Canis lupus familiaris: one gene and its partners. The protein of the gene in region 2 purifies or fractionates together with the protein of the main gene of each other region. This does not show direct contact. Links are inferred from orthologs where the notes say so. Each region holds a gene or a part of one and is shown on either strand. Other genes may lie near its edges. The genes, in order: POC1A, CORO1A and IFT57.

What was found.
Region 1: the proteins of CORO1A (region 2) and POC1A purify together in Homo sapiens (affinity purification with mass spectrometry; 3 studies listed by BioGRID and IntAct, counting the BioPlex papers as one, with this or other methods). This does not show direct contact. The link is inferred for Canis lupus familiaris from reciprocal best matches to the Homo sapiens genes CORO1A and POC1A.
Region 3: the proteins of CORO1A (region 2) and IFT57 purify together in Homo sapiens (affinity purification with mass spectrometry; 3 studies listed by BioGRID and IntAct, counting the BioPlex papers as one, with this or other methods). This does not show direct contact. The link is inferred for Canis lupus familiaris from reciprocal best matches to the Homo sapiens genes CORO1A and IFT57.

The regions. Positions count from the first base shown.
Region 1 is NC_049241.1:38,006,341-38,009,984, reverse strand, and holds part of POC1A (POC1 centriolar protein homolog A), read right to left. Parts: intron 3,048-3,644; coding exon 2,932-3,047; intron 1-2,931.
Region 2 is NC_049227.1:18,326,879-18,331,285, reverse strand, and holds the start of CORO1A (coronin-1A), read right to left. Parts: upstream 2,916-4,407; 5' UTR 2,757-2,915; intron 1,193-2,756; 5' UTR 1,192-1,192; coding exon 994-1,191; intron 1-993. UniProt on the Homo sapiens protein: May be a crucial component of the cytoskeleton of highly motile cells, functioning both in the invagination of large pieces of plasma membrane, as well as in forming protrusions of the plasma membrane involved in cell locomotion.
Region 3 is NC_049254.1:13,948,556-13,952,199, forward strand, and holds part of IFT57 (intraflagellar transport protein 57 homolog), read right to left. Parts: intron 3,376-3,644; coding exon 3,244-3,375; intron 1,900-3,243; coding exon 1,837-1,899; intron 1,032-1,836; exon of another isoform or gene 942-1,031; intron 1-941. UniProt on the Homo sapiens protein: Required for the formation of cilia. Plays an indirect role in sonic hedgehog signaling, cilia being required for all activity of the hedgehog pathway.

The DNA of each region.
Region 1 (3,644 bases), on a different chromosome or scaffold from region 2:
ACACAGGCGGGCTGGGAATGCTGACCACACACTGTAGCATCAAGAATCAAAAGGTCTTGGAAAAGCCCAACAACCTCATGTGCCCAAGGCCCACCAGGAGTGCCTGGTACTCATCCAGAGTCACCAAGGGAGATAGGGGATGTCTGTGTTCTTAAAAACTTTCCTCTGGGTTTCCTAAGGATCAGGGGTGAAAAACAGCTCAGCTCGTGTCTGCTGTCAGAGTGCCAGGAGTCCTTCTGGAGAATCAGCCTCCAAAGAGATGCCCCTGTACCCCTGAGGATGAGAGAGCAGCTGCTACTAAGGGGCTAGTGAGAGCCTCTAAGGTCGAAGGTTCGGCCACGCAGCTCCTAAGAGGTGCCAGTAGACCTGAGCAGACCTGGCCAGGTCCCTCAAACAGCATAAAGTGTGAGGGGTATGTCCCCCAACAGCATCCTCAGATCCACGTGGCTCTCCTTGAGCTCCAGAGGGTGAGTTTAGAGGCAGTGGGATGAGTTTGCTGCCCTGTGCACCATGTATTGGGCAGGGAGCTAAGGAAACTCAGTTGTTTACAGGGTACTCCAAGCCACTCAAGGCCTCTGATATGTATTCAGGTGGCTTAGGAACAAGACAGAGTAGGTCTGTCATAAGAGCAAAGGACAATAGCAAAAACACACTGAAATCTCTCTGCAGAGAGCCTGTAAGCCTCATGTACCCCGGGTCCTCTCAGGATTTGGCTCCTGATGCCACCTGAGCCCCCTCACCACATCCCCAGCCCCTCCAGTCACTGACTCCCCGGCCCACCCACTGCCAAGCCTGCCCCCTCAAGAACTCCAGGGACCTCTCTCCAGCACCTGCCACCCTTCTCAACTGCTCTGTATCACTCTACCTCCTGATCACCCTCTTCAGGAGACTCTGCTTTTCTTTATGCCTCTGGTCCTGCCCTCTCAGCCCTTTTCCATCCTTCACTCTGGCTGCTTTGTAGACCTTTCCCTCCATGGCCCCTCAATCATAGGGACCCATGATATGGCCTCAGCCCTTCTCAAGGCCCAGATTTCTGGGCCCAGCGGGACCCTCAACCCGTAATGTCACCTACTGACTCTCTCAATCTCCAAAACCTAACCCTTGGACCTGATCCCTGCCCTACTTGGATGCCCTCCTCTCACTCAGACATGGGGCATAAGTAGCCCACCCACCAGTCGCCCAAGCACACCAGTTTCCCACCCAGGCAGGCTCTGTATGTCCTTTCAGACATACCTTTGCTCTTCGAGCAATGGGACCAGTCCCAGCACTGCCAGCCAGGCTGCATCTTTTGGACCATGGGCCAGAGTATGGCATTCAACGCCCTCCCCAATGGGTTCCTACTGGTGCATGCCACAAACCCAGACCCATGCTCCTGATCCATCAGAGGTGAGGCTGGACTCTCCCATGGCCACCTAGAGATCCTCTCCCCTCAGTGTCAAGACTTATGTGATGAAAAAAATAATAATAATAATACAAATTAGAAGAGAAAGATTTATGTGGTACTAACCACATTTCTAGTACTGTATTATAATCATCATGTAGACTCCCCCAACACATCTTCACAAATCCCATGAGGTACTATTATCACCCTTTACAGACAGGAAACAGCCTATACTCCTAACCTGCCTGGCCTCGTCACCTCCCCCTCCCAATACTCCTGACCCCACACTCAGAGGCACCTTCCCGCCCCGGCACTCCTCCATACCTGCCAACCCTCCCCCAGTCAACCGCTGCAGATGTGCGCCAACTCCAACCCAGGCCTGGCCCAGAGAAGAGAGGCCTCTAAGCCTGAAGGAGGGAAGGAAAGCTGTGGTTTCCAAGTAGAGGGTAGACCCCATAGCTACTCTGTTCTAGAAGGTCTGTCTGCAACAGCTGCAGCTACGACAAGCCCCAGGGCTTTCTGTTAAGGAAGAGTGGCTAGCCTCTGCCACCTGGTGGTGGTGTAGGGCAATGCAGGCCAGACTCCCTACTCCAGGATCTCCGGACCCAGACTTGGCAACACGGGCATCTGAACCCCTTACTTGGTTCCTGTTTTGTGCCTGGCACTCTCTAAGTTCTTGGCAGAGACTAACTCATTACCCTCCCAACACCACCTGTGAAGGAGGCCCTATCACTGTCCCAGGGGGCCCAAAGGAGTCAAATGCCCTGCCCAACGTCCCACAACTCCAAATACTGAGGCTGGTTGCAAAGCCCACCCTCCGCCAAATGCTTTTTAAGACCAAGAGCCTCTCCCTCAACATGGGAGGTCTGCTAGCCTCAGTTACCTCAAGGAAGTGCTGTCCTCAACAGCTGAGAATCAGCTAGGAGGGGATGCAAGGGAAAGCTGAACCCCAAGCCCAACACCTTTGTCCAGACGCATCCTTTCCATTTCAGGGGTGAATTCTGGATGTAGCCCATGGACTTTAAATCTTGTCCCAAGACAATAACCACAGTTTTTCCAACAACTCCAGCTCTACCCCAACCTGGTCTTAGCCCCAGGCCCACAGGCCTGCCCACCATATTGCCCCTGGCCCCACTCCTAGTTCCTCCTGTGGCAGATCACCACCTCCCTTCCCTTCCCCATCCCCACGGCCAAGGTGACTCACAGCCCTGCCCAGTCACACCTGCTCTCAAGTTCCACACTCCAGCACCTTCCAGCTCACCCTAATCACACCCGGTCCGTCCCTACCCTACCTCCCAGCAGGAGCCTAAGATGGCCTATGTTGACTGCTCGCTGTTCTGCACCTCTGAGGGCTATAATTCTCAGGGGACATGGCCCCAGGGCTGCTTCCTGATTCTGGTCTCCAACCTGAGTTGACCCCTGGAGATCCCAATGGGCCCAGGACTCCTCCCCACTGACCAGGGCCGTCCTCAGGCCTGCTTCAGCATGATGGCCACAAGCCTGACGCCAGGTTCCGCACCGTCATGCTGTGGCTGCTCAGGGACACTCACGCTGGTAGTGCTGCAAGAGGCGGTGCGTCCGCACGTCCCACACCTTCACTGTGTTGTCCATGCTGGCAGCGGCGATGCACGTGCCACTGGGGTGGAAGTCCACGTAGGTGACAAAGCTGGAAAGGCAGGGGCCGCCGCATGCTGTAGGACTGTCCTGGCCCAGAACAGACCCCCCTTTCCCATCCCTGCACATCTGCTCAAGCTGTTCCCCAAACCCAAAATATCTCCCTTCTGCCCTTTTTCTTTACCAGGTGGCCAAGGGACAGCAGAGAGAGGGCAAAAACAGTGGCTAACAGTGACCGGAGGTGGACTCATCAGGGACCGAATCCCAGCGTCCACCTCTAAATACAAGTAGAGAAAGGGGTCTTCAGCCTAAACGACAGCTGACAGCTCAGGCTGTTCAGAGTCAGAGCAAGGGCCCTCATCAAAGCGATGAGGCCTGGCCCCAAAGGGCCAGTGGGACCCCAAGGCCACTGGTTGACCCATCTGCAGGAGACAGGCCAAGGGTGACACCCAGGCTGGCACCATGGCCAGCTCTTAGGAGACGCCTTTCCCTGGGGCTCCCGCCTACCTGAGGAGGGCAGAAGTTGAGGTTCATTGAGGAGACCAGAACAGGTGAGGCCCTGCTCTAATGCAGGCTCCTCCCTCTCCTGATGATGCAGCACAGTGTGAACAGCCACCAAGAACTTACAAGAACCTGACAAGCCTTTCAT
Region 2 (4,407 bases):
AAGGGCTGGCCGTGAGAAGTGCACAACAGGAGTGCAGGGCTGGGTAACAGGGACACACTGGGCCCCAGTCCTGCCTTACTGGCCAACTCCTGACATCTCTACCCCCACTTTCTTGCCGATGCCCTGAGGGCTGGCACTCCCACCCCAGCTTCCTTGAACCAGGCTTCCCAGGGGATGATAGGCCAGGGCCCTGGGCAGGGGAGGTTGTATTAAGGGTAGGATTCCCCAGGAAGTGTGGGAATGGGGATGGGTCCTTCCAATAGGATAGGGACTGGGGAAGTCTGTCATAACTGGCCCCAAGCAGGAGCAAAGGTTTGGAAATGGCTGCTTCCGGGGACAGCTGCCGCCACAGGGCTTCCTGTGTGAAGAGCTCACCCAGCTCTCGCCCCACAACCACTTCCTCTTCTCTTGGCTTTCATCAGCCCTTTTAAGGTAACAACTTAGGGCCCATGTCCCCTTCCTGTCTCACCCCTCAAGGCAAAGGAGTGTGCTGGGGGTGGGGGTCAACAGAGCGGAAGGGGGGTTGTGAGCAGCAGAAGCAGAGGGAAGGCAGGTTTGGGGGAGGGGAGAGGGCCTTTCATGTCCTCCCTGCTTGTAGCCCGGGGCCAGAACTGGCTGGAGCTCTGGAGGGTGATGGGGGCTCAGACTGGCCTGGCCCCAAGCCCCTCCCACCCCGTGAGCACCACTGGGTCTGCCCAGACCCCATGGAGCCCAGGCTGTGCTCCAGAGGGGAGAAGTCCCTGGGCTAAGACTTGGGACACCTGGCCCTGGGTCTGCAGGACTCGCTATATGACCTTTCTGGTGTCACCTGAGCTTCAGTTTCCATGCGACCACTGCATGTTGGAGCTGGAGGAGGCTTAAGGCTCATGTGGCCCAGCTCAGTTTTACATATGACAATGCTGCAGCCCCAGAAGGCCTGGTGACAGTCACCTAATCAGGATCAGAGGCCCCTTCAAGTGGAAGACTACTGCCCCAAGGACTCCAGGGGCTCACCTTGCCCAGGGGCAGCACCAGGAAGGCCCCTCCGCCACTGGCCTCGCAGATCAGGGCCATGAACTTGGGGTTGACAGCACAGAAGCCACTGTCCCAGGTGGTCTGTGAGACACGCACATCCTCATAGCACTGGTCAGCCTTGGCTGGTTGTCCAAACACATGGCGGAACTTGCTGGAGCGGACCACCTGCCGGCTCATCCTGGGGGGTAGGGGCACGTGGGCTTGAGGGCCTTTCTCCCTTCAGGTTGACTCTGACCTTAGAGTGTTCCCCATGTCCCCCCAGGACACCCCTCAGCTGGTGTTTAGGGTCTCAGCTAACTTCCCCAGCATCTTCCTGGGCTCCCTGCTCCGTCCTCTGTAACTACCATCCTGTTGCCCTCATGCTCACCTTCCTCACCCCTTGTCACTCCTGGCAAACCTGCAAGGCCTACCTTTTCTGCCCACCCAGGCCTCTGGTCTGTACCCTCAGCCTCTATTCCAGAGCCTGGGGGTGGGGTGGGGGCAGTAGCACCAAGAGCCCATCTGTCGGCTGCTGCCAGACACAGCCCTTTCTCTCCATGGCTCACCCTCCCACCCTCTGGGGGCACAGCCTGGAGGGTAGCTTCACTCCATCACAGCAGCCACAGCTCACATTGCTCACACCCACACAGAGAGCTTCCTGAAGGCAGGGGCAGGGCTGGCCTCCCTCACCTCCTGGCACGGGGCTAGGCATCCAGGGGGAAGCAGCACGTTGACCTGCCCAGGAGGCAGGTCATCAGAGGCAGGGTGGCCTCCCCAGCAGGTGTCTGGGCACCAGAAACAGGCAAATGGCCTGGGTCCCACTCTCTCCTCCCCACACCTCTGCCTCTCGAGTCTGCCTGAGCAGGTGCCCCTAAGTGCCATTTCCACCTGCTCTGGAACTATGCACAGGGAGAGGTGGCACTGATTTCCCTGAGGTCCAGCGGGGCTTCTCCCACCTGGCTGGTCAGAGAGCGACTGAAGAGGATGGTGTTGCCTCTGGCTCCCCAGGCTCCAGGCTCCATCCTGAAGCCCAACTGCATCACCTCCCTGCTCAGCGTGGGCGCCAGGCCTCTACCCCCTCCTCGGTTTCACCCCTTAGACTGCCTTTGGCCCTGGCCCTTCTCGCGGGGCACCCCGCTGCCCTGGTCGGCCCTGGTCGGCCCTGGTCGGCTCCGGGAGGCTCCGGGCCCACCTGCCCAGACAGCAGGTGAGGAGCACGTGTGAGGAGAAGCAGTCCGGGGCCAGAGGGATCAGTCCCGGGTCAGACCCTGGGCCTGGAGCGAGGGTAGCCCCGAAGCCAAGGCTGGGGAACAGGAAGCCATCGCCCCACCCGCCTCCTCCCCCACTGCAGGTACCAGGCCCAGAAACCGCGGAAAGGGGAACTTGGTCTTTTCTTGTTTTGCTCTCAACCCCTTCCTGTCTCGGAGCTCAGGGCAGCCGCTCGGCTCACCCCACCCTGCCCCCCCGCCCCCGCCGCCCGTTCCGGCGCGAGCCAGCCCCCCGCCCCCCACCTCCATCTTGGCTGCGGTGGTCCCTCACCCCGCCTGCTCACGGCGCCCCGGACGCGCAGACGGACCCTCCCGCGCACCCCCTGCCCCCCGGCGAGCCCCCTGCACGCGCGGCGCGCACGGCCCCGTCCCCGGTCCCCGCCGCGCGCTGACAGCCCCGCCGCCCCCGCGGCCGCCTCCCGCCCGGCTCACGCCTGCCCCACAGGTGGCCCAGGGCAGCGATGCCCGGCGCCTCGCCCGGGGACCCGGGCTTACCTGCCGCTGAGAGAGGAGGGACCCCCCGGATAGAGGAGGGAGAGGAGGAGGAGGAAGAGGAGGAGGAAGGCGCTGGCGGAGCCAGAGGCTGCCCGCTGAGGATGCTCTTGTCAAGACAATGAATGAGAAGCGCCGCTGCCCGCCTCCTTAGGGGTGGCAGCGCCCCTTTGGGCGGAGCTCCTGAAGGGCTCCCCGCCCCCCAGCCCGCGGCCGCCCCGCCCTCCGCCGCGCTCCGCCGCGCCTGCCAACTCCCAACCCAAACAGATGCTGCCGGCCACTCGCTGACAATCTAATCGGCACTTTTGTAATGTCAAAATGCAAAAATACCCTGTTCCTTCTTCCCTCCTTCAGTCCGTCCCCAGCCCACTCACCATCCTGTCCCTGGCGTTCGCAGAAGCGCCCATCAGGCCCCCACGCCCACCCCCAGCTAAGGCTGAGCTGCCTTCCTCGCCCCCCCCCCACCACTCCCAGACGAGGAACCGAGAGGAGGGGAGCCCTGGGGTCTCGTCTAGGCTCCTCCGTTTACAAACCGTGGCCTCGGGAGAGTCACTTCTCTGCCATCTCAGGTCTTCACCCTGGAGCACCTCTGCCTCGCCTACCTCACAGGGAACAAATGAATTACTCTGGCATTCTGGAGGCTTCTTCCTGCAGGAGCGGCAGAGGTCAATGAGTCAGGGTCAGGTTCCTGCCCCCAGAGGGCTCTCAGCCTCCCAGAGGGAGAGGAGAGGAGGGCTCCAGGGATGCCAAGCAGAGTAGAAGCCAGACTGCACACTCAAGAGGAAGGAGGAATCCATCGTCGCCCTTGGATTTGGAGAAGGCGTCAGGGAGGTGGCAATGCAGAGGGCAAGAGAGGCATACTCCAGAATCAGGATGCTTGCTGAGTTTGGCTCCTGGTTGTCACACTACTGAGTGACCAGGGCAGGATACTTAACCTCCCTCAGCCTCAGTTTCTCCCTCTGTAAGAGTCCTACCTAACTCGAGAGGTTATAGGGGGAAGCAAAGCTTTATGCACCTCCTCTTGGGTGTAGCAAGTGCTTAATAAATGTTGGCTCTCCCCATGATCACTGGGTATTTGGGCTGACAGCTCCGTATGAGGGGCGCTGGGACAGTGTATCTGTTGGGTGTTGCTGGCCCACCATCTTACCAAACCCTCTTTACTGACGGCCACCTCTGGATTTTCCTTTGGGGGACCAACCTTTCCTCACTGGCAGTCCCTGAAGTTCAAGAGGGGGTCCAGGGTGGGCACAGGGCCACAGTTCCCCAGTCAAGCAATCTTTTTTGATTGGTTTAAGGATGGGCACTTGATTCAAGGCTATGTAATCAGAAGCAGACTGGTTGAAGCTGCAAGAAAAAGCTATAAGACCGGCTATAAGATTGGCTATAAGACTGGCACTAGTAGTGACCATCTGGTCACCATCTAGGAAAAGCTGGCGGCAATCATCAGCCCACACAGCTGCAGAATCGAGATATGAAGACTGACATATTCCTTTTTTTTTTAAGATTATTTATTTATTTATTTATTTATTTATTCATGATAGAGAGAGAGAGAGAGAGAGGGGCAGAGACACAGGCAGAGGGAGAAGCAGGTTCCATGCCGGGAGCCCGACACGGGACTCGATCCCGGGACTCCAGGATCATGCCCTGGGCCAAA
Region 3 (3,644 bases), on a different chromosome or scaffold from region 2:
AGATTTTAATAAGCTTTCAAAATTATTGAATGGTATATTAAAAAAATATAGATCTAATACATCCATAAAGGGACATAAACATATTAGGAGTGTTCTGGACATAATTTGAATAATAAAAGAGACAGAGAGACAAAGCTTTTTATCTTCTGAGAGTGCTCCTAACATTAAACTTCACCAAATGATGTTTTCAGGTTGTCACATGACAATAAAAACTGATCTAAGTTGTTGTTTTAGGCATCAGACATGCAAACCTTGTAGTTATCTCCTAGCATCTACCATGCCAATCCTTTTTTTTTTTTTTCTTTTTAGAGAGAAAAAGAGAGCAGGGAGGTGGGGTGGGATAGAGAGGGGCAGAGGGAGAGTGAGAGAATCTCCACGCCTGACTTGGAGCTCTGTCTCACAACCTTAAGATCATGACCTGAGCTGAAATCAAGTCAGACACTCAATGGACTGAGCCATCCAGGCATCCCAACCTTGCCAGTCTTTAATAATGAGTTATTAATTAAAACAGTATATACATTCTGAGAAGATTTTGGATTTCTAAGGCTTAGTAGGTATCTTTCTTAATATTATAGTTTTATAAGAGAAGATGCCATCTTTTCCTGTATAGGATGCTAAAAATAACGTTTATACCATATGGCTGTATATAAAAATATTCCAACTGCTCTATCCAAACCGTGAACTCCAAGAGGCATATTGTGCTGTCATATTGGCTCTTAGCTGTATTCTACGTCATATTCAAAATTATACTACTATAGCCTCTATTAGTAAAATTCCAACCTAGAATATTAGCTTTAAAAGTTTTTTTAAAAAATTATATGACCTAGAACTAAGCCATAATTATTGTAACTTACTAGGCTTTATTTTTATCATACTGGTGAGTAAAAACTTCCTTGGGAATAAAGTGCTCATCCAAGTAAAGCAAATTAATTTTTTTTTAGGCACCTGCAATGTTACAACTGGGGATAACTACCTCCTCCAAAAGAACTAAATGGGTCCCTGGACTCCCTTCAAGTGTTAATTTACCTAACGTAAGTGAGCACTTTACTTCTACATAATGTTCTATTTGCCTAGAAGCACCACAGGATTAGAGTCTAAATATTTCTAAAGTTACACTTTTAGTATTCTAAAATAACTATTTATGCCTCAAATAATCTCTATAAAAGAAGCTTAATTCTATTATATTGAAAATGTCTGTGACAATTACACTGGATTATAACCAAAGACACTCTTGTACATTGGCTATTGACCTTGTAAGAATTTTTTTTCTCCCGGCCCTTCAGTAAAAAATTGGAATATATATTAGATTGTACCCCTTTGTGTGATGATGAAAATCAATGCAACAATATATGCAAATATTTCAGAAGTTCTCAGAAGGATAGCCACTTCCAGTTTGTAGACAGAAATACTTAGGATCACATACATCAGCAGCAATCACTAAAAACAGATCTTATATCTTACAGACTAACATTAAAATTAATTATAAGACATTTAAGCCAGTGCTTTACCTACTCTTCTATGTATTAATCATGACTACTCTGCTTTTAAAAAGATTAAGGAAGGTTATAAATGTGCTAATATTATCAACAGGTTCTATGTTGAATTTAATAAAACAACTTCAGGCATTTTATGGGAATAAGAAGTATATAAATACATAATTGATTCATTGATAAGAAAACTAGGGATTTTCTCCTAAAGAAAAGGACTCAGAGCCACGGGAAGCAGTTGCTGAAATAAAGAGCGCCCGGTTGGAGCAGTATTAAACCACAATGACTCTGCATGGCTGGGGCCAGGGTGCAGCTGAGGGTGAGGAGAGGGCGAGAGCGTGGTGTGCACCTCAGACAGGAGCTTGGTCCTTTCCGTTACTCCGCCATTACCCTGCTGGTATCGCTCCCGTGCCTAAGGGAGAAAACATTTTGTTTAATGACAAATTCACAACAGAAGCAGATTACTTAAATGTGACCTCTTTGTGTTTGCGATTTCTGCATATCATTTTATGACAGCCCCCCCCATTTGTGAATACATTTGTGAAAGTGACATTTAACTGTAGCTTTTTTATGTCCCTAATAGGCGCGATGTATTTAAACTAAGGCACTATAAAATGATAAACTACCTTAACCTTCATATACTGACTGTGTAACTCACACGGGCATGGTTCACAATAAAAACTGTCCTCAGCTATTCCTACACAGTTTAGGAGAGCAGCTCTTGGTCGATGTAATTTGCATGCTATGCAGAGAAAACCAGTTCAAAAAATCAATCATAACAGAGCATCAGGATGAGCAATTAATAAGGATTAACAAATGGTATGACAGTACGGAATATGTTCTTGGGAACTAATCTAACAATTATTTAGTATCAGTGTTTGACAGTGGTTTTAATCAGACTTTTTACAGCATTTTGAAAGTAAAAACATCCATGAGTATATATGTATATGAGGGAATAATTTGTTAAATAAATAACATAATAAAACAGTGAAGATTGTTTTCTGTTTGGTCTTTGAGAACTTCTGAAAGTACAGAAGTATCTTAAGTTGATTTCCATTTTTTCCCTTCTTCTAACCTTATTTACTGAAAGAAAAATAAAAAACTCTTCAACTAGCATTTCTAAGTGTTCTTACTAGCCTTCCTCAACATCAGGAAAGAGGGGGCATAACTCCCAAGGAAAGCCTTTAGATCCCTACTGGGGTACAAAGAACCACTGCTTCCAAAGGCTGAAGGTTTTATTTTTTTGGTTGAAATTCTAAAACCTTGAAAGGATTAAAAAATTTGCTCATTAAATTAATTAAACTGCTTGTCTCTGAACGTGTCTTGCTTTCATATTCTTTATTATGTGGCTGTAAGCCATTAAGGCAATGATGTCTTTTCCCTCTGACACATGTAAATGCATACTATTCTTTTTCCTCCTACTCACAGGGTAAATTAACGGCAGACTAAGAAACAAAACCAGGTGTCCTGACACTCTGTTCCTGTTCTAAGCAATGTTCCCCAACAATACATGTCTTCATTTATTTAAATCAAAAGAAGAAATGCATTTAAAGACTTCTAGGAGATAATTTCTATTGCATGTAACATGGAGATGACAAGTTCTACTGCCTCACGTGGCTTCCTAAAGTGGGCAGAGTATCCATGTGTTGCTGTTTGGGAGAAGCATTTCATGATTCTCAAATGAAAAGTGCTGTGTCAAGTTTGGGAATTAAGGTCATTAACTGAAATAAATCCCTGAATATCATTCCTAAGTTACCTCACTCAGTTGGGCTTGGGCTGCACGATATTCTTGAACCAAATGCTCAAGCTGGTTGTTGATGTACTTTTCTCGGCTGCCGATCTTTTCCAGAGTTCTACTAATTTCATTATGAAGTTTATCCAAAAATCCCTAGAAATTCCATAGGATTTTAGTAGATAAAAGAACTCACAAATACATTTTTCAAAAATAGTACAAAATGGGCTAAATTTCCTTCAATCCATCCCACAAATTCCCAACCACTTGTGAAAAAGAAGATAGCTTGAAATTTTCAATAGCAAAAGAAGTCTGTAATGAGAAATATTTTAGTCACACTTGGCAGAATGTTAAAATAAAAAAGCACCTGGAAGTGTTAGTCAATTCATTAGTCCTTATGCATATCTAAATTGTACGTGAGTGGA